Drosophila melanogaster: one gene and its partners. The protein of the gene in region 1 interacts with the protein of each later gene in a pairwise test. Each region holds a gene or a part of one and is shown in the gene's direction. Other genes may lie near its edges. The genes, in order: Cpr97Eb, CG5674, CkIIalpha-i3 and Cpr56F.

The links.
Region 2: the proteins of Cpr97Eb (region 1) and CG5674 interact in a two-hybrid assay, tested with the Drosophila melanogaster proteins (one large-scale study listed by BioGRID).
Region 3: the proteins of Cpr97Eb (region 1) and CkIIalpha-i3 interact in a two-hybrid assay, tested with the Drosophila melanogaster proteins (one large-scale study listed by BioGRID).
Region 4: the proteins of Cpr97Eb (region 1) and Cpr56F interact in a two-hybrid assay, tested with the Drosophila melanogaster proteins (one large-scale study listed by BioGRID).

What each region holds. Positions count from the first base shown.
Region 1 is NT_033777.3:27,089,165-27,092,752, reverse strand, and holds Cpr97Eb (cuticular protein 97Eb), read left to right. Parts: upstream 1-1,622; 5' UTR 1,623-1,761; coding exon 1,762-1,773; intron 1,774-2,146; coding exon 2,147-2,842; 3' UTR 2,843-3,049; downstream 3,050-3,588.
Region 2 is NT_033779.5:17,961,756-17,966,378, forward strand, and holds the start of CG5674 (uncharacterized protein), read left to right. Parts: upstream 1-1,623; 5' UTR 1,624-1,790; coding exon 1,791-1,850; intron 1,851-2,388; coding exon of another isoform or gene 2,389-2,694; intron 2,695-2,753; coding exon of another isoform or gene 2,754-4,132; intron 4,133-4,193; coding exon of another isoform or gene 4,194-4,623. Other genes in the region: btv (beethoven), read right to left, coding at 980-1,261, 2,389-2,694, 2,754-4,132, 4,194-4,623.
Region 3 is NT_037436.4:708,052-712,089, reverse strand, and holds CkIIalpha-i3 (CKII-alpha subunit interactor-3), read left to right. Parts: upstream 1-1,728; 5' UTR 1,729-1,732; coding exon 1,733-1,780; exon of another isoform or gene 1,781-1,806; coding exon of another isoform or gene 1,807-1,842; coding exon 1,843-2,352; intron 2,353-2,476; coding exon 2,477-2,533; intron 2,534-2,595; coding exon 2,596-2,757; intron 2,758-2,806; coding exon 2,807-2,878; intron 2,879-2,935; coding exon 2,936-3,010; intron 3,011-3,066; coding exon 3,067-3,099; intron 3,100-3,161; coding exon 3,162-3,380; 3' UTR 3,381-3,489; downstream 3,490-4,038. Other genes in the region: CG13896 (uncharacterized protein), read left to right, coding at 333-345, 403-1,148.
Region 4 is NT_033778.4:20,287,824-20,293,913, reverse strand, and holds Cpr56F (cuticular protein 56F), read left to right. Parts: upstream 1-1,968; 5' UTR 1,969-2,080; coding exon 2,081-2,086; intron 2,087-3,363; exon of another isoform or gene 3,364-3,481; coding exon of another isoform or gene 3,482-3,590; intron 3,591-3,684; coding exon of another isoform or gene 3,685-4,235; exon of another isoform or gene 4,236-4,369; intron 4,370-4,402; coding exon 4,403-5,050; 3' UTR 5,051-5,543; downstream 5,544-6,090. Other genes in the region: CkIIbeta2 (casein kinase II beta2 subunit), read right to left, coding at 3,482-3,590, 3,685-4,235; CG34199 (uncharacterized protein), read right to left, coding at 5,652-6,090.

The sequences.
Region 1 (3,588 bases):
CTGGTTCTACAAGATCATTAAGATGCGACGACTGTAATGCTGACGGATTTATTTAGTTTAGTAGATCTCTCTTAAGAATATATATTCCAATTAATTATAGGCGACAATTCTAGCAAACTATCTTTGCATATATGCATACTCAAGTGAGGAAAAGAAGCCAAGCGAATGTATTTATCTGCATGCAACCATGACCAAGGTCTGCGGTTCTTGGGTTAACGAACTTGTGGTTTTGACATAAGTACCTACACAGAAAACAACTAATTATGAATTATGTATCATGGGAATTTTCTTATTTTAAATACGCATACATTTTTATTCTTTGCCACAGTGAGACCTGAAAATCTGTGGTTCTGCATTATTATTTGATGAATATGCTATATGACTTGTTATTTGGTGTATTTTGCACAGTGTAGAATGTGATTTCAGATAGATGAATGCAAATCCCCCGAAATAAATGGAATAAATTCAGTATTATAATGTAGGTTGACAACTGTGTTTGTTTTGAATGTGGCTTGGGGATTTTGGCAATTTATTTTATATAAATTGGATCCTACTTAACTGGTTGTTTGTGAAATAAAAAGAAAACATCATATAAACTAATTTAAATTCTAGAAATCTCCAGAGATCTAGTCAAACCATCACATTTTTTTCTGCCTATCTATGACGTAATTTCAGCAACCTGTTTCTTTAGCCAAAGCATTGACTAGGTCAGTATGCCAGCATATAAGTTTTTGTATTGCTTTCTTTTCCTAGCTTCAAGTGTGAGTTTTGACAGGCTAAGAGAAATGGCTAAATAAGCTGTCAAATTGCATGTTGTGGATGCAGATTGCCATTGGCCAGTGCACTTAACTGGGAGCAAGGTGTTTGGACAGGTATTTGCAATCGATTAGCAGGTGGGGGGGAATTGACTTGCATAATTGGAATGCTTAGCAAGTGCAACACTTCCGCACCTCGCAGTACTGGCATTTTATTCTTTTCTGGATTGTAGATTTCAGTGATGCCAAAGGTACTTTTTAATTGTGTCTATGAAATAAACTTTAAAGATAACTAACACCTGATAAATCGATGTGAATTGTAAAAGTTTTTAGATGGCACTTGAAAACTATTTTACATCGCACTTTGTACCTCAAACTAGAGTGTGCCAATATGAGTAGGATATGGAGTGTAAGTGTACCAAGTGTACCTAGTTCTCATCACTGTTGCTGCTCTGATCTCATTGCGTATGCGTGAGTGTTGCGGTCTGGAAGCATAAATTGCTGGCCAAGAATTCGAGTAGACGACATTAACAACCTGATTGGAAATTGCTGCGCGTCGGCTTGCTGCTGGTAAGTGAATTACCTGTAGAGGTGAGTGAGTGGGCATATCGATCGGACGTAAGTACAGCTGGCCGACGACCGCTTTCGATTTCTATGCTGCATTCCAAGCCAAGTCGAATCGGTTCTCGGATCGGATCGGGAGCTCGGGCCTCGGTTAACGTATTCGTTTTCGTTTTCTGATCGCAGCTGATCGCCAGATCCAGAGACTTCGGCTTGAAGCTTTAGTTTCTGCCATGGTTTTTTCCCCTCTTGGCCCGCTTTTGCGAAATGTTGACTGCGGTATAAAAAGCGTTGCACGCCCTGATTTTCTTTTGAGTTTGTCGTTTCGATTCGCAGAGTCTCGAGTGCAAGTGCAGAACACATTTTCCATTTTCGCAGTGCATAACTACTTTGGGAGATTGGTGAAAACGGTTCGACATTGACAATTGGTTCTAAGCTTGGCAGCATGTTGAAATTGGTAAGATTCAGCAAGGTGGTTTATAGTGTTACATCTCCAAAGCTCGATATTCATATCGGTATGCAAAAGGTGTTTTCAGAATATGCGCAGTGAATTTTTAGAATGCAATTTAGCCAACCGGTTTGATCAGATCGGTGTCTATGATAAAGAGTAACTTAATTGGTGGTTCATTACTCAGCCATGTCCTTGAGTGAATGTTTGTGAACTGATAATCAGAGCAGCTAATTAAGGTATTTAGCCAAAAGTAAGGCAATAAAGGCAAAGTTCATGTATAATTGCTGACTTTACAGATGGGTGTGACCGAAATGGTGATTTAATGATACAAACGATTTGAGTCACTTTTTCACTCAACTCTTTGTTTTTCAATTTGCAGACCTTGAGCTTGGGTCTTCTGCTTCTGGCGGCCCACAGTGCGTATGCGCAACACCAGGACTACACCACACCGGTGCCCATTCTCAAGCAGATCGACAAGCACAACGACGATGGTTCCTACACATATGGATACGAAGCGGCCGATAAGAGCTTCAAGATCGAAACCAAGTACGCGAATGGAGAGGTCTATGGAAAGTACGGTTATGTGGATGACCAGGGAAAAGTGCGGGAAATAGAGTATGGAGCCAGTAAGCGTGGCTTTGAGCCCGCTGGCAGTCACATCAATGTGCCACCACCTACGCTGACCAACAGCAATCCCTATCCATTGGGACCCAACGAATTGGACGATGGCCAGTATCGTGAGGACCCCTCGGTGTACTACAAGGACCAGAAGTTCAATCGCCCCCTTTCACCGGCCAGTAAATTCAGTCTGAACGATTTCGGCCGCGGCCAGCAGCAGGCGTATGCCCCGCCACCTCGGCAGCCCGCCCCACAAACGCCCTACTACAATCCCACACCCCAATACTACAATCCCCCGGCTCCGCAGCCCCGTTACTACCAGCCTCCGGCCCAGAACTACTATAATCCCCAGCAGCAACAGCCATACAGGGGGTTGCCGGAGCAACATCATCCCTCCCTGCGAAATCTCAACCTCTACACCGGTTCCTATAGCATCGACTATACGGGCCGGAAGTAGGAAGGAGGACCTTTTGATGGGGGGATCACCTCTGAGTTGGGCCAGAGAGTCAGGGACTGAAGTGTCCGAGGACAATGTCAACTTGTTACTGCCAAATAAATCAGTCACTCCGCACACCCCACACATGTATCTATTACTGTACCTGTTTATATATGTTCTTGAATGTGTGTAATAAATCGAGTTTTGAAACCTGAAGCGTTTACAGAGAAAACGAAAGTGTTCTGAAATCATTAAATGTTTTGGTAATTGCTATGAAAATCAAAGGCAATTAGGGTGTTAAAGACAACTAGTAAACATTCAATCAATTTACGCTACCCTTTTCGCTGTCATTTACTGCTAAGTAATTATTCTCAGTGCTCAGAAGTATTTGAAATATCTGCTTTGGCATTCAATTTAGCCAACTACCAGGTTCCGCTTCAATTAAGCCGCCCCACAGCAGAAATTGTAGCAAAATCCAGCCGATTGAAATAAAGGCAAAGAGCCCAGCAAGTGGCCAATAATCGTTAGGCCATTACGTCAACACAGAATGATCGAGCCAAAACAACAAAAAACTACAAAAAAAAGGCAAGCATTGTGGCCGATTCAGATTGAAAACCAAAGTGGATTTGCTGTTGACTGGAATTTGGTGCACTTATGCAATGTGCTGGCCCCAAACCACTTTCAAATGCACTGCCACCAACGGCCGACCAGTTGGCCATAAGCTGTTGGCCATAAGTATGGTCTATGGTCTATGGTCTATGTACTTG
Region 2 (4,623 bases), on another chromosome or scaffold:
AATGCATAAGAAGGAGGTCTTTAAACTGTTCTTCCTTGTAGCTAATTGGATTTGAAGTTCGGAGCGGAGTTTATGTATCTTTTGATATACACATTCACTTTATATCCTTACTCAATTACCTTTTCAGCCTTATCGCGCTGCCTAATTCCTTAATCCGCAACTAAATTTCCATTTGAAGCGTAATAAATTATTTATTCTCAATAGCCGACAGCACAACAAGTTGGGAAAGGCGTACAACAAAATCTGAGAAGTCTGCATAGCTAAATTTGCAAAATGTGTTAACAAACTGCCACGCCCACCGATACGAGGCACTGTGATTTGTGCGGAGGGCAATTTATATGCCACAGAAGCCGGCTGCCACGCCCCCTTCTCGGTACCGGGAGGCACTTTACACTCAAATTGTGTTAATTTGCATATTGGAAACTTTTGCCTAATTGAACATAATGCCACTTAATTAAAGTTAAGACAAGTTTTTGACGGTAAAATGGTTTTGGGCCTGGGGGATGTCGGGGATGTCTTGGCAACTAAAAGTATGCCCGACATTTATGGCAGTTTGTTGTTGAAATTTACGGCAATTAGTTTAATATGAGCAGATTATGAGGGACACAGGACGCAATAAAATCCCTTCGGCGGTGGCAAATTAATTTTTAGGGGCATCCCCGAATAAACACAGACACTGAGACATATGGAAATCAATTAGCTCTTCAGAGTCTAAGTCCTCGCCTTAAATGTTTAATGGCCCATTTTTATGTTTGCCTTTGGCTGCCTAATTGTTAGTTGTTTAAATATTTACTTAGAATTAGTTGGGACCCAAATGACAGCGTGTCAAGGGTAGGAAACTAATGTTAAAAGAGTTTCGTTTGGTTTTTATTTAATATTTGCGAAGGTGAATTGCTATTCAAGTGTCAGTCCAACACATTCTTCGCTTCTCTACATATATATTTGAAATATATTGGTATAAAATAATATTGAGTGGTGTTTAATAATCTTCGACTATTAGCGCTGTTCCGGCCAAGAGAATTTGTTCCGCAGTTCCGGTCACAATATCAACATTTAGGTGGCAAATCAATTTGTCGCGACTGCTCCGAGAATATAATGGGAGTTTGGGCTTCGATTCAGCATTTTGCGTGGAATATAGCGAATTTTTGCCGTATTTTGAGGAACTAGTAGTCGTATGACTGACATTTTGTACTTCGTCTTTTATTTTGTACTTGATGTAGAAGGGGTTCGATTTTCCCATTCCACTCTGGGCGCCATCAATCTGTAATGGAAAATGAATAGTGCCAAGTTTAGTTACTAATGAAATACTTAGATATATTCCACATTACATATATTCACAATTGCTAAAAACAAAAAAAAAGGCGAAAAGCGGGTAGATGATTTGCAAAGTTTATTCTCCAAGTCCTAAAATGTATATACAAAAAAATAGTTATTTGTTTTTTTACAGTGTTAGTTCTAGCAGGTACACCCATCAGGGCATAGCGGATGCACTCCCCATAGTCAGCTTCCAAACCGATTATCGATTGGCATCGAATACGTAGATATACAAACGAGAAGGGAAAGTAAAATGTAAGTTTGTGCTCAGAACTGCTTATCGATAGGCATCGGACAAGGTGCCATCTCTAATTCCCCCTCTTGTACCGGAATGTCAATCAAATGAAAACAAAAAAAGCGGCGTGAGAAAACTGAAAAGAACGGGCATCCAGTGCACATTTCAAGCTTAATTTCGATGCATTGAACGGCGGCGGCGCACCGAAAACAGGAGGCGCAGGATTACGGATACGGAAGCTATGGAAACGGCCAGAATGGAGACGGCGATGGAGACACATTTTATGGCCAAAATGGGGAAGGTGAGGAACAAAGACAAGAAGCAAACGGGCAAGAGGGAGAGAAGATGTCATCAGTCTTCGTCCCAAAAGATAAATAAGTATCTTTTGGGATTTTGGATTGGGGGAATCAATTTGGACTATGGATGTATGCATATCTACTATCCAGGTAATCCGTAACAGAGTATTGTTACTGTTACTACTACTACGTGTGCATCCAATTGTATCTGATATAGCAACCTGGCAAAATGTATCCCAAAATTATTTCTCAATGTTTATTGTATTTACTGTAACGCTTCTCGAGGGCTTATGATATTTAATGGTTATCCCCAACTTAACCAATGCGCCATCTACCGCGAATATTATAGTTATGGCAATTTCTTGGCTGATTATCCTGCGATTAGTTAAATTTCCTTTTATGGCTTCGAAATATATTCTTAGTCGCTAAAGAAGAAGACATAGAAGACATAACCCCTTGAATCATGAGTAAGTGGCTTGCTGAATTTGATTTCACAACTTGATGTCAAAACATTATCGGTTAAAGATACTAATTCTTACTCACCTTTAGCGGCGCCAGCTTGAGTATTATGTCCGAAGAATCACTTTCCAAGTTTGAGGAGCCGCAAGTTTGCAACTCCAGGCGTTCGGTGGAAACTGCCAGTTTTCGAGACTGCAGCAGCTTTAAACAGGACAACAGGTTCTCACAGTTAAACACCTGGACGAAATTGATATCCTCTACAAAATCCAGATGCATTTGCTCCCGGAATCGAAGTTCGGCAGCCTGGGCTCGAACGATTAGGGCTCTTAAAAAGTCCACGGCACTGTTGCTGCCAGGTCCAGGCCATAGTTTAAGCCAACTGGCAGGAATCTATGAATTTCAGTTTATTATGCATTTTCAAGTTACGTTACTGTACCCCAGTTTCTTACCTGCTGTTCTGCCAGAGTTCTCAGAGTGCTGCCATCCACCTCCTGCGACTCCTTAAGCCAGGCATGCATCTGCGACAAAGTCTGGTGAACTATGCCGTAGAGATCCGCCCCTAGTTTCAGTTCAGCCAGCACAAAAAGTGCCCAGGGAGATTCACCCACATCAGTTTTTGCCTCCTTCATAGTCTGGATTATGGTACACGAAGCCGCCAACTTTCTCCATAGATTCAGTAGGGGTTTAATTTGCTGTTCCAGCTTCTGACGACCAGTGAGCTGATCGTTTCCCTTAGACTCTCCTGCTCCTCCAGAATCCTTAGCCAAGCCTCTTCCGTAATGCAATCCCCTGAGTTCCTTTATCACTCTTTTGGCCTGTTCAATTTCGCGTTGCTGTTGTGCCTGATTGGCCAAACCATACATACTGGGCTCATCTGTGTCAGGAAGTTTCTCCAATGCAGCGTAGTAGTCCTGCAGTTGACCGCTAGTTGGTATGGATAGAGATAATCCAAGAGGTGACCAACGATTGCTTAAGACGTCCGCTGAACAAAACTGGTTCAGATAGGTTGTGAGTATCTCCAGATCCCTCTGATTATTTACTCTTCCGCCATAAGCGAGGGCTTCACTGAGACGTTGCATCAGCAACCAATCGCATTTTCCTGAATTAAGTTGCTGATCCATCATTCTTAGGATACCCAGAGCCGCTTTTAGATCTGCCTCACCGAATTCATAGTATTTTGACCAACCTTGTGGTATAAACTGTCGCCTTTGTTGAAGCACAGCTGTTAGGACAAAATAAACCAGTCTCATCTTGAGGCTCTTTGGTTGGTTTTTAAGCTTTTGATCCTGTTCAGCAGCGAAGTTCTGGAGCAAACGCATCACAATCTGCTTTAGTCCCTTAGGCTGCTCATAACGTACTTTAAGGCATTTATAAATGGCAGCTTCGGAAAATCCCTCGGTTGATTCGCACAATAGCCACAATCGAAAGTCTTTCGATTTTTGAATTTCACTTAATTCCCTTTCCATTTGAGTTAGAAATTCCGGCACCAAATGGACATTCTTAACGCATAACCAGTGGCCATCTATGGCAGCCTGACGCATTTCGGAGAGAACTCTTTTCTCAACACCTTTTCCAATAGCCATTTCTCTATACTTTTGATTGGCCCACTTTCTCAATTCAGTTGTTGGATCATTTTCCGCATGACTAACCATCAAAATCGGGCGATCACAGCTGCTCTGCTGCAGCAACTGCTCCACAGAAGGTTGGGTGGAGGCATCTGGGGAAATTCCCAGCAGATCGCTACTCACTTTTCGCAGTTGGTGAAGCATCAAGTCGGGTCGGAAAATCTGAGCAATAAGCACACGCTGGAAGCTGGACCCCAACGCAGCTGTAAGTTCGAAAATAAATCTGAATAAGATGAAATTAACTAAATTATTTCTACAACTTACGTAGCACATCATCCGCTTGAGCCTCAATGAATCCGCGCCAGATATAGTCCTTCTCCAACTGGAGCTTGCTTCGCAAATCTGGGAACAATTGGAGTAACATAGCCAGCTTTAATTGCGCTTCCTTGGGCATGCAGTCGGGCAGTTTTCCAAGCTGACTTAGCACCATACTGCCATCAGAACTACCCATGAAATTGTTCACAAACAGCTCCCACTCCTTGGGGTTTAATCTATCGGGATATGCCTGATGACAAACCCACAAGGATAAGGATAGCTGGCTATCTCTAGAAGTAGCTCTAGCTAAATTCATATAAACACTTCGTACAAGACAATCATAGACCTTGGACTCATCTCGTTGACTTTTGGAAAGAGCCCCCAAAAATAGTTCAATGTAAACAAGAGGGGATAATTCATAGCCCTGGATGAGGCCTGC
Region 3 (4,038 bases), on another chromosome or scaffold:
CCTGCGGCAAGTACTCACTAAATCCTTACTGCGAGATTTTTAAATTCAAAAACTACATAATGGCAATTAAATGAGGCTAAGATGAGTATTTATATAAAATAAATGTTCTCTTCGGTAGCGAGTATTGATATAGATTAGGCAAAAAATCCATTTTCAAAAAACGAAAGCCTATTCCCATCTTTGTTTCGTGCAACCTTTTCGATAGTTATCGATAGAGAAAAATCGAAACACATATGTTTGGATCATGATACCTTTCTCTTACGCCGTCCGAAAGAACTGGCAGCCTGGGAAACAAAACTTATTCGTCATCAACTGAATAGCTATTGTAAACAATGGATACAAAGTGTGAGTAAAAAACATAAATTCAAGAAGAAAACTATATATATACTCACAATAAGCCAGCTTACGAAAGGAAGTGGTGTACATCCAACACCCGACTTTTATTGTCCCTTTACAATGAACGCCAAGCTGATTTTCGGGATCCGAAAAAAAAGATCAAGGACATTTGGGGGGAAATGGTCGTTGCCCTTGAAAGCCAGGGAATGACAGATATCGATGCAGTTCAGCTGGATCGAAAATTTAGGAACCTGAAGAAGACCTACTATAGCATAAGGAGCAAGCTCCTGGCGAAGGTACCGCATTTCCATCCAAACTGGCAGTTCTACGACGAGATGTCCGAAATTCTAAAGGATGACCCTGTCCCACCGCCGCAGGAACTTTCCATCAATGATTTCGATGAAGCGGTGGTCAGTTTGGAGACCGGTATCCAGAAAGGCAGGATGCTGTCTATGGGCACCACTGTCAGCACAGTTATTCCCCGCCAAATGCGTACGTATCGCAAACGAAAGCAGCCATTGGATGATGTCGATATCAAGATCCAGAAGGACTACGAAGTGCAAACGGATCGGCAGCGGGATGGGGAACAGTTTACAGTCTTTAATGCCGCCGAACCCAATACTAATGATTTGTCAGAGTCTGCGGCCGAGATCTCCATCAGCAACGACGAAGAGGCATTGAGACACCTAAGAGCGCTCCAGGAGTACGCCATGATCCATGATAATTTCAGGGCCATAGGACTGCTAATACAGGTGGAGCACGCCATTCAATATCCAGCCCAGATCAAGGACTTCGAGGTGGATCAAACGTAGTGTCCTTATAAACAAGCACGTAATCTACTGGAAAAGCAAAGATAAGATAAGGCACATACCTAATTTATACCTCTATATTTAAGATTTTAATATTTTATAATATATATACTTTAATTTACTTTATTTAAATATGGTTCATGCACTTGCTAACACCACTGAAAAATGAATCTGGTTCTAAACAAATCTGGCTTGGGTATTGGCTAAAATATTGCGCTGTGGCAATACCGTTTTCTAAAACCTATAGTTACAACAATCTAAAGGAATTTCACAAGAAAAACCAACATTTCTGAAATCTTATTAGTATTTTGAAGAGTAACAAAGTGAATCCTGCCGAGATCAACGCCGATCTGTAAGCAAGTTCGTCTTGGAAATTGACAAAAACCGAAAAATCTGGCAGCACCAATATGACACTAAAGGTTCAAGAAAAGACCTTCGGTTGCACAAAATAGAAAATTCAAACATAATTGAAAAGAATTAACTAGTATCGTGAAAACATGTAATACAGTTAATAAAAAGTTATAGTATTATGCAATATTGATCAAATGAAGCAAACTTTATCGATAACTTCGAAATTGCAACCCTAAATGCATCGGATGGGCAATACCAATCTGAAGTCTACAAAAAAGCATATTGTGGAAGTCTAAGTTTTGTTAAATTTATGGAAAAGGAATCCAATTTATCGGACAACTTGCAGTCCCGGTTATTTGCACTGGGTCCTGCCCCGCCAGGATTTCGTCCACCGGATGCTACCGCCTTTGCCACAGCGGAGTCAAATCTTCGTAATGCCATCCGCTACCTTAATGATACCTATGGCGAGCTCGATCAGCTGCGCACTGTCATCCAGAAGGAGAAGAATAACTCGAAGCGTACGTCCTACAAGGCGCAGTCCATGATGCTTGCCATGCAAGTGATACGTTTCAAAGGACTTATTGGGAAGTACAGGGACATTCTGATTGGCCTGCAGGATGCCGAAATCATCAAGGTCAAACAATACATAGAGCAAATGGTGGAGATGAGGAACAAAATCCAGGCAAAGACCGATCCCACACAGCGCGAGTTCCAAGTGGGCAGCTCAATCTCACTGGTGCAGGAACAGCGCAAGACCAAGAGAATCTGCCGCAGGTGGCGGGATCGCCTGGTCCAGCTGACGGAGGCCAAGATGGACAAAACTGAGCAACTTACTGAGAAACCAAAGCTGATCAATGTAAGAACCGTTACAAAAGAACTTATACATATTTTCATTGCGCTTCCAATATCCATCCATGTTTTCATGAAAACTCTCATCGAATTCTGATCGAATTTCGACTGAACTCGATATGCTTTTTTAGAAACCTAGAAATATGTTAAATGCAAAAACCAACAAGTGGAAGGAAGCTGTAAGCTTGGTGAGTATAGCCAAACATATAAAGGATAAGTTAAATGCTAGTAAATATAAAACTAATCCTAGCAACAAAGCGGTCTAATTAAAAGTGGCTGTAAGAGGTGTGAATACCTAAGAAAGCTGACTAAGAATCGTCCATCCAAACTTTGTAAGGTGTGTAAAAAATGGTCTGATGATGAAAAAGCAAAAGCGGCAGGAAATAAGAAAGCCAACAAAACGCCAATAATGGTATGACACTATTGAAAAGTCGCAACATAAATTAATACTATTATTGCAGGCGAAGTCGAAAAAATTAGAAGTACGCGTGCGTACGGATTCTGAAGAAGCTATAATTAAAATAGAGATAGAGGTGGGTGTGTACAAGTAGATCAACAGTAACATTAGCACTTATTATTAATTTTCTTAGCATGGTGAATTTACCGATGAAGAGGAAATTGGGTCATTGGAAAAGGAAACGACCTTAAAAGATGAGATCAAGGAGGTTAGTTGTTTCTTCAACCTGAAAAATGTGTTTAATTTTGGAATGTTTTTTTTTAGACTGTTGAATCTCACGACACGGCAGCAGTTGAGGTAAGTAAACAGGTCCTTGGACTGTAATAGAACTAACGTAACGATAAATGACTCAATGACAGGAGGAAAATGAGACCAGTCAAGACGATGTGGACCCCAAAGTAGTCGCTTCCTTACAAAATTCACTGAAATCCATCGACTGTAAAAATATGGCCTTGGCCTACGTGAAGGTCTTACAGGAGTACGCCATGTTAAATGATAACTATCGGGCCATTGGACTACTTACTGAAGTTGAAAAATCAGTTTTAAATCCGCCTCAGAACGAGGATTTCGATCTATGATCTTATTGACGCCACAAAAATAAAGTTTAGTTTTTATATGTAATCTACAATTAAAATGTTCGTGTGTCCTGCCTTTGAGAGTCAAGACCCAAAATGTGTAAATAATTGTAATATGCGAAAAGAGTTTATAGAGTGGAATAACCAACAGGGTCCCACTTAAATGTGGTAAACGTTAAATTAAGCACTAGATATAATTTGAGCAAAAATAGCTTTATATATATGTATGTGTACATATCAAACCAGTTTCAGCTCAGATTAGGTGGTAATGCGATTTGTGTTTTTCGGCATGTTAAACCAGTTATAGCTGCTTTAGCGAGAGAATATTTACTCTCGATCCGAAAATAAATCCCATACCGCGAACGAATACCACCACGATCGGAATCGGAACGTGGGAAGTCGGTTTAGATCGCGAGAGAAAGAGCGGAATGTCTCTCGCAAAGATACGGTTTTTGCCGCTCCGCCAAACGGAGGAGAGTCCAGATCTCTGCAATGTTCGGACCGCATGCTCAGTCATTGAGTTGCACTCGCTCTGGCAACTTTAAACACGTGCGACCGCACATATTTTCTGTTTAATGTGCCTAAAAAACTGCTGTATATTTTCAACAAAGTGTACTTTATGCTCTAAGCTTTCCGACTGAGGTATGTAAACAAGATTTCT
Region 4 (6,090 bases), on another chromosome or scaffold:
CTGAAAACTGAAAACCGAAAACAGATTTGAAGTCGTTCATGGAGTGCTATTGAAAATGAATTTCAGTTTTGGTTTCCGAGACAAGGAATGCGGCATACGAAGGTTTATTTATTTAATTGTTTTGCTTACATTTCAAGATTCATATTAGCCATTATGAAGTCAAGTCTTAACTGCTCTGCTATAATTTCTGTTTGTTTATTTGAATTTTTCGCATTCGCATATTTGCACACATAACTCCAAATGATCTTGGTAATTACAAAAGCTTGGCTGTATATTCTCTAATTTATTTTTATTGTGGTCTGTGGCAAGGTCGAGTATTACTTGCAGAAAATCACTTGGGGGAATACGCAGCGAGGAAGCAATTCCATCCCACCCCATCCCTTCAATCCCTTCAATACCTCATTAATTTCCAGCTCATTTGGGGCGTGGCTTCGCACGGCCTTTAAATTTACAACTCATAAACTTGGCATTATCGAATGTGAAAGTCAGCTCGTGCCAAATCGCAAAATAAGCAGGGTCCGTTATAACAAAATGATAAAAATTTTAATTTGCTACGCATTCGACCAATGAGCCAAAAGACAATTGACCAAAGAAATATTTGCAGATCGTGATGGATGCTACGCCCACTGTTTAAATGAACATGGAATATGGCAATAAAAATATTGAATTACTTTTCCCTATTGTCAAGTATTGTGTTCGAGTATTTTTAAAGAGTTCAAGTTTCCTTTGTTATGCAATCGACTTTTTAATGGGATAAATAAGTATCCAAAACTATTGAGCATACACATTTCAATACGTTTTGCAGGAAATGGACAAATAGAAAAAAAAATTATGTTATTTTTTTTAAATATGTGTTTATTTTAAAACTTATTTCTCTCTACAAATTATTTGTTTATAAAGTAAATATATAAATAAATTGATCTCATTTAAATTGGAGCAATGTTTCACCCATAAATGAATGTTGAAGAGATCTTTAGGTAATTTTGATTCGCAAAGCAACTACAAGCCGTTACTAATGCTCAGTTTAATAACAATCAACATTTTCGACACCAGAGCGTATCTTTCCCAGCAAGGAAGATAACGTATCTTAAAACTCTTTTTCCCTCGCTGTGCTCACAGCTCAATTGCAGCTTATCCGACTTGAATCCATGTCAACGCCAATCCAAACGGACACATTTGTGAAGTCGGGGGCATAATCCAGCTCATTAGTTGTGCTGAAAAACAAAACCGAGCAAAACCCAGCGAAAACTCCCACGCACTAAGGGGAAACAATTTGCAGCAGCATTGCCTGCAGCAAGTTCGTTGCCTGAGTCTTTTGTTTCTGCTTCGCCTTTCGAGGCGGCCGCCGCTGAAGCTGCCGCACGACTGAAGCTGAAGCCTCCGATGCGAGATGAAGATGCGTGGAGCAGCTGCCTCCGCTCACTTGGCTTTTGGACGCTACCGTCGACGTCGCTGCCCGCTGCCTGCTGCATGACTAATTCCATTACAAATAAGTGTTTCTGCTATTACACGAGCGGCAACAAATGTTTATGGCCTGCAGCCGCAGGAGCGCGGTACTCCCTCGTCTCATTTGTTTGAATGTTTGGCACTCATCTTCGCTCATTTGCCGAACCCGACCGCAGATACGAAGTCAGCATCGTCAAAATGTTTGGCGCTTTAATTTCCAAAGTAACTAGTTTACTATAACAAATCCACCTCAAGCGATTTCCCTCTTTTCTCGGCAGCACCACCGAGAGCGATTTGCTCTTCCTCAGCTCCGTGTGCTTTGCATTATTTTGTAATGTTTTTCAAGTGCTCGTTCGGCACTGTGGCACTCATTTTTTTCTCGACTAACCGAAAATTGAAATAACGAACTAAGCTGAACAAAAAACACACACATTTTGGCGCGCAATTTTTTGAAGCCGACGTCGACGCCGCCGCGTTAGCTGCTGCTCATTTCAAATATAAATACTGGCCTACGAAATTGTTTCAGTATCACAATCAAGTCAACCATCTTCGCAAGAAGAACACAGCCAACAGAGCAAAGTTAACAAAAACCGTTTTCGTGTGTGCCAAAATCCCAAACAAGTGACAACACAAAATGAAGGTATATAGCCGAATAGAACTTTCGAGTCAAGTGCCAAGTGGTGTGCTGTGTGAAAAAAAAAAGTCCTCACAAAAGGATATGGGCAGCCAAAACGAAATACAATGCCTCATTCGGCATTCGGGAAACGATATGACTAAAGGATATAAAACTTGAATAGCTATAAAGATCATTCAATATAGGTCCTTTATTAGATACAGTTTCGACCTTTTGTTAAATTTTCAAAGGATATTGAAGTTTGCTGTAGCTAACATACAAACAACGTTGGGTTACAAAATCTTAGAATGATCAAATAAACATCACAATATTTGCCCATATCTTTTTCTGCATTGCAAAGGTGCTAAAATATGTTCGAATTTTGTATTCATTTTTCTGTATCCAATCAATAGCCCTCATTTAAAATCGTTTTTGGCAATAGATCGATCAATCAATTAAACAACTCATCAAACTAATGAAGCTTTCATTGTCTCACATAGCACTTAATCAGCTAATCGGAAGGAAAAGACATGAAATATTAATATTTGAGCCATATTAAAAGTCAAGTTCAGCTGGGTGATTAATCAAGCGGAGATCCGCATAATAAATTTCATAAGTTGCCATCATCATCGCAGTTAAGATTACCATCAATTTGTTTAGGATAGCTACTGTTTTTTATGGTAGGTTGCGGAATTAGAACACCGATATCATTCGCCTGGGAAACAATTGCAACCAGCGATCCCAGTTCATTTCTAGGGTGTGGGTAACAAACAGAAGCAACAACAGCTGCCGCTGCTTGGGGTCATTTTGCAATGAATAAATTAGAGAAACTTTAAGTGGCGGAAGAAGAACTACTGGACATGCCCAAGTAAGGCAGTCTGGAGATGACCAGGCGGCGATAAAAAAAAAATACAGACAAAAGCGCAGCCAAAAAGCATAGCATTTTAACGCCAATGAAGCATGAAAGTCATTGACGGCCCTGTGCCTAAACACTCGGCCAGAAGATCTTTTGCACAAGATTCGGAAATAAGTTGTGTAAGAGTGAGCCGAAGTGGTTCTCCCACAGGTTGTCCGCGCCACACGGCGAATACTTAAGATTCAGACGCATTGCGCAAGATCACGAGATTAGCCCTTCACTTGCAGCCCAGCTAAATCCAATCCAATCCGATGGGAGCTTCACCTGGGACCCAATTACTACAGATTTGCATATGCCTCAGCTAAATGCTGTAAAGATGGGAAAGACAAAGCCAATTCTGGGCCTGCTCGCAGGCCATCAAATCCAAACAAAAGATTGTCAAGCGGGTCACAGCCTGAGCAGTTATTGTTATGAGAGTTTAATGAGCTGGCAGCCAGCCGGGCGAACAGTGCCCACTTATTCGAGAAGTACGCGACAGTTGCTTATGAGAAATTTTAGCTTTAGGATCAAATGTGGGATGGGCTATCGATTTCTCCTACTGGCGTCATTGTCACATCTTTTTGGATCTCAGCGGCAGTACGGTAGGCCGTGGGGTGGATTTTAAAGCCATAAAGCCTGGGAAAACATAGTTACATTAGTTATACATTATTAGTAACTACCTTAAAAACATAGGGAAATAGAAGGAAACACAGGAAACGGAAGATCTAACCTGGGCACAAACTTCTGCTTTGCCCGCTTGGGCCTAGCATCCGGTTTCTCCATAAAGAACATATGAGGGAATCCAGTGCCAAAGAAGGCTCCATCCAGATTCGAATGTCTCGACGCCTTGGGAATGTACACATCATTGCACTTGGGGCAATAGATGCGTACCATATCCTCGCCAGGATTATCACTCAAACCAATGGGCAGCACCGGCTGGCTATGGCAGAATGCACGTGGACATGTGCCGAATTCGCCCTTGTTGTACTTGTCCAACATCAGTTCGATGCCCCTGTTGGTTAGGATAAAGCGAGCATGGATCAAGCCATACAGTTTCTCTGCACTAGCCTCCAGTTCTGGTTCAGCGGGGTCTTCCGAAGCTGAACCCGGATTAAGATCCAGGATCACCTCCAAGGCACATTTGTAGTTCTTAACGTTCGAATCAAGAAAGTTAAGGTTAAACTTGTCCTGGATATATTCCTCATCCACCTCGCAAAAGAATTCGTTGCCACGCTGCTTGCAAAACCAATGAATCCAGGAAGATTCGTCCGAATCGGTCATAGCTGCTTCTTTTAAGCTTTAATTTAATCAGTCAAAATCACGAGAGCTTAACAATAGGACTTATTTAATTTCGAATGACAGCTGTCAGGGACGGAGTGTTCAATCAAGGGTTGTCAACTCAAAACGAAAACTGTAATGTAAATGCAACCCTGAATTTTCATTCCCAGGCTTTTACATCCATTGCCCTGCTCGTGTGCCTGGCTGCCTGGACCCATGCGGAACCACCAGTTCCCCAGAACCAGTACCTGCCCCCCAATCAGTCGCCTCAGGCGCCGTCCAACAACTACCTGCCGCCCACGCAGGGCTACCAGTCGCCGTCGAGCAACTACTTGCCACCCCAGCGGGCCGGTGGCAATGGAGGAGCGCCCAGCAACAGCTATGGCGCCCCCATCGCTCCTCCCCAGGGTCAATATGGTGCTCCAGCGCTGACTGGTGCCATCTTCAAGGGCGGAAACGGAAACGGAAACGGCGGCTATGGCGGCGGTAATGGCAACGGCAACGGCTACGGACAACGGGATGAGGAGCAGTATGGACCGGCCAAGTACGAGTTCAAGTACGACGTACAGGACTACGAGTCGGGCAATGACTTCGGCCACATGGAGTCCCGCGATGGTGATCTTGCTGTGGGCCGCTACTACGTCCTGCTGCCCGATGGACGCAAACAGATTGTTGAGTACGAGGCCGACCAGAATGGATACCGCCCAACCATTCGGTACGAGCAGGTCGGCAATGGCAACGGAAACGGCAATGGCAATGGTCGCAACGGTGGCGGTTATGATAGCAACGCGCAGCAGGGCAAATTCAACGGCTACTAAGATGGGGAAGTGAGGATACCCGATTTAGGTCGACCCCGCAACTATACTCGTCTACTTCATGGGATCGCTGGCCGAGTATTAAACGCACATCCAGCCAGTGGGCCAGCGATCGCAGTCAGTCTATCCATATAACCCTATTCCCATCTCTGTGCATACCCTTAGTGGGACGCCCGCCATTTTGCCATAGACAGGCGCGTTCCTTTCCGTTTCCGTTTCACTGCTGTTCGTTATCCTGTTTTCCGTCTCTACACCTGGAACTCCTTGCCGTTTTGTTTTGTTTAAGCGCCTTCATTTTGTGTTAGTCTACGCACACACTCCAACACACCATTCACCCACAACATGACCATTACGCATTCATACATACATGCATAAGGATTGTATTTAGTTTTTAAACGAAAATGGAAATTCGAAAGTGAAACGAACTTATGAGATTTTTGTGTATATTTAATAATTATTAAATGAATAAAGAAGCATTTTTGTATAAAACAAAGTCAAAAAGAAAAACCAAACTGTTTTTATAATTAACAAGATAATTCATTCTGAGAATTGAATACATTGCACAACTCTATTTTACATATTCAAATAGCTATATCCAAATTGCCTACTTCAGGACCCGCTCCAGTTGTCCCTGTCTGTTGTATCGATACACAGGATCCTTGAGTTGCCCCACAGTGGAGTAAGTCAACTGAGCCGTAAAATCATCTGCATCTGCATCTGCGTTTTGCTGGGAGCTGAAAGAAACTCTTTGTAGTTTATTGTCCTGCGAAATGACGAAGTAACGTCCCTCTCTGATTTTGGGCTGCTGATTGTCTACGATATTTTTTGCAGTAACTGGCTCCTCATCATCAGGATAAATGATTTTAAATTTCGGATCTGCCGGACCGTACTTGTTGGACGGTCGTGAGGTGGGCAAAATCTCTTCCTCGGGTATATCCAGTTGATTTGGAGGCAAATAATTTGGCTGGGGCTTTTCCACTGGATCGAACTGGTCCACTCGTGCCTTTGTGATTTCTACTCCCTGACTTGATCGGATAGCAGGC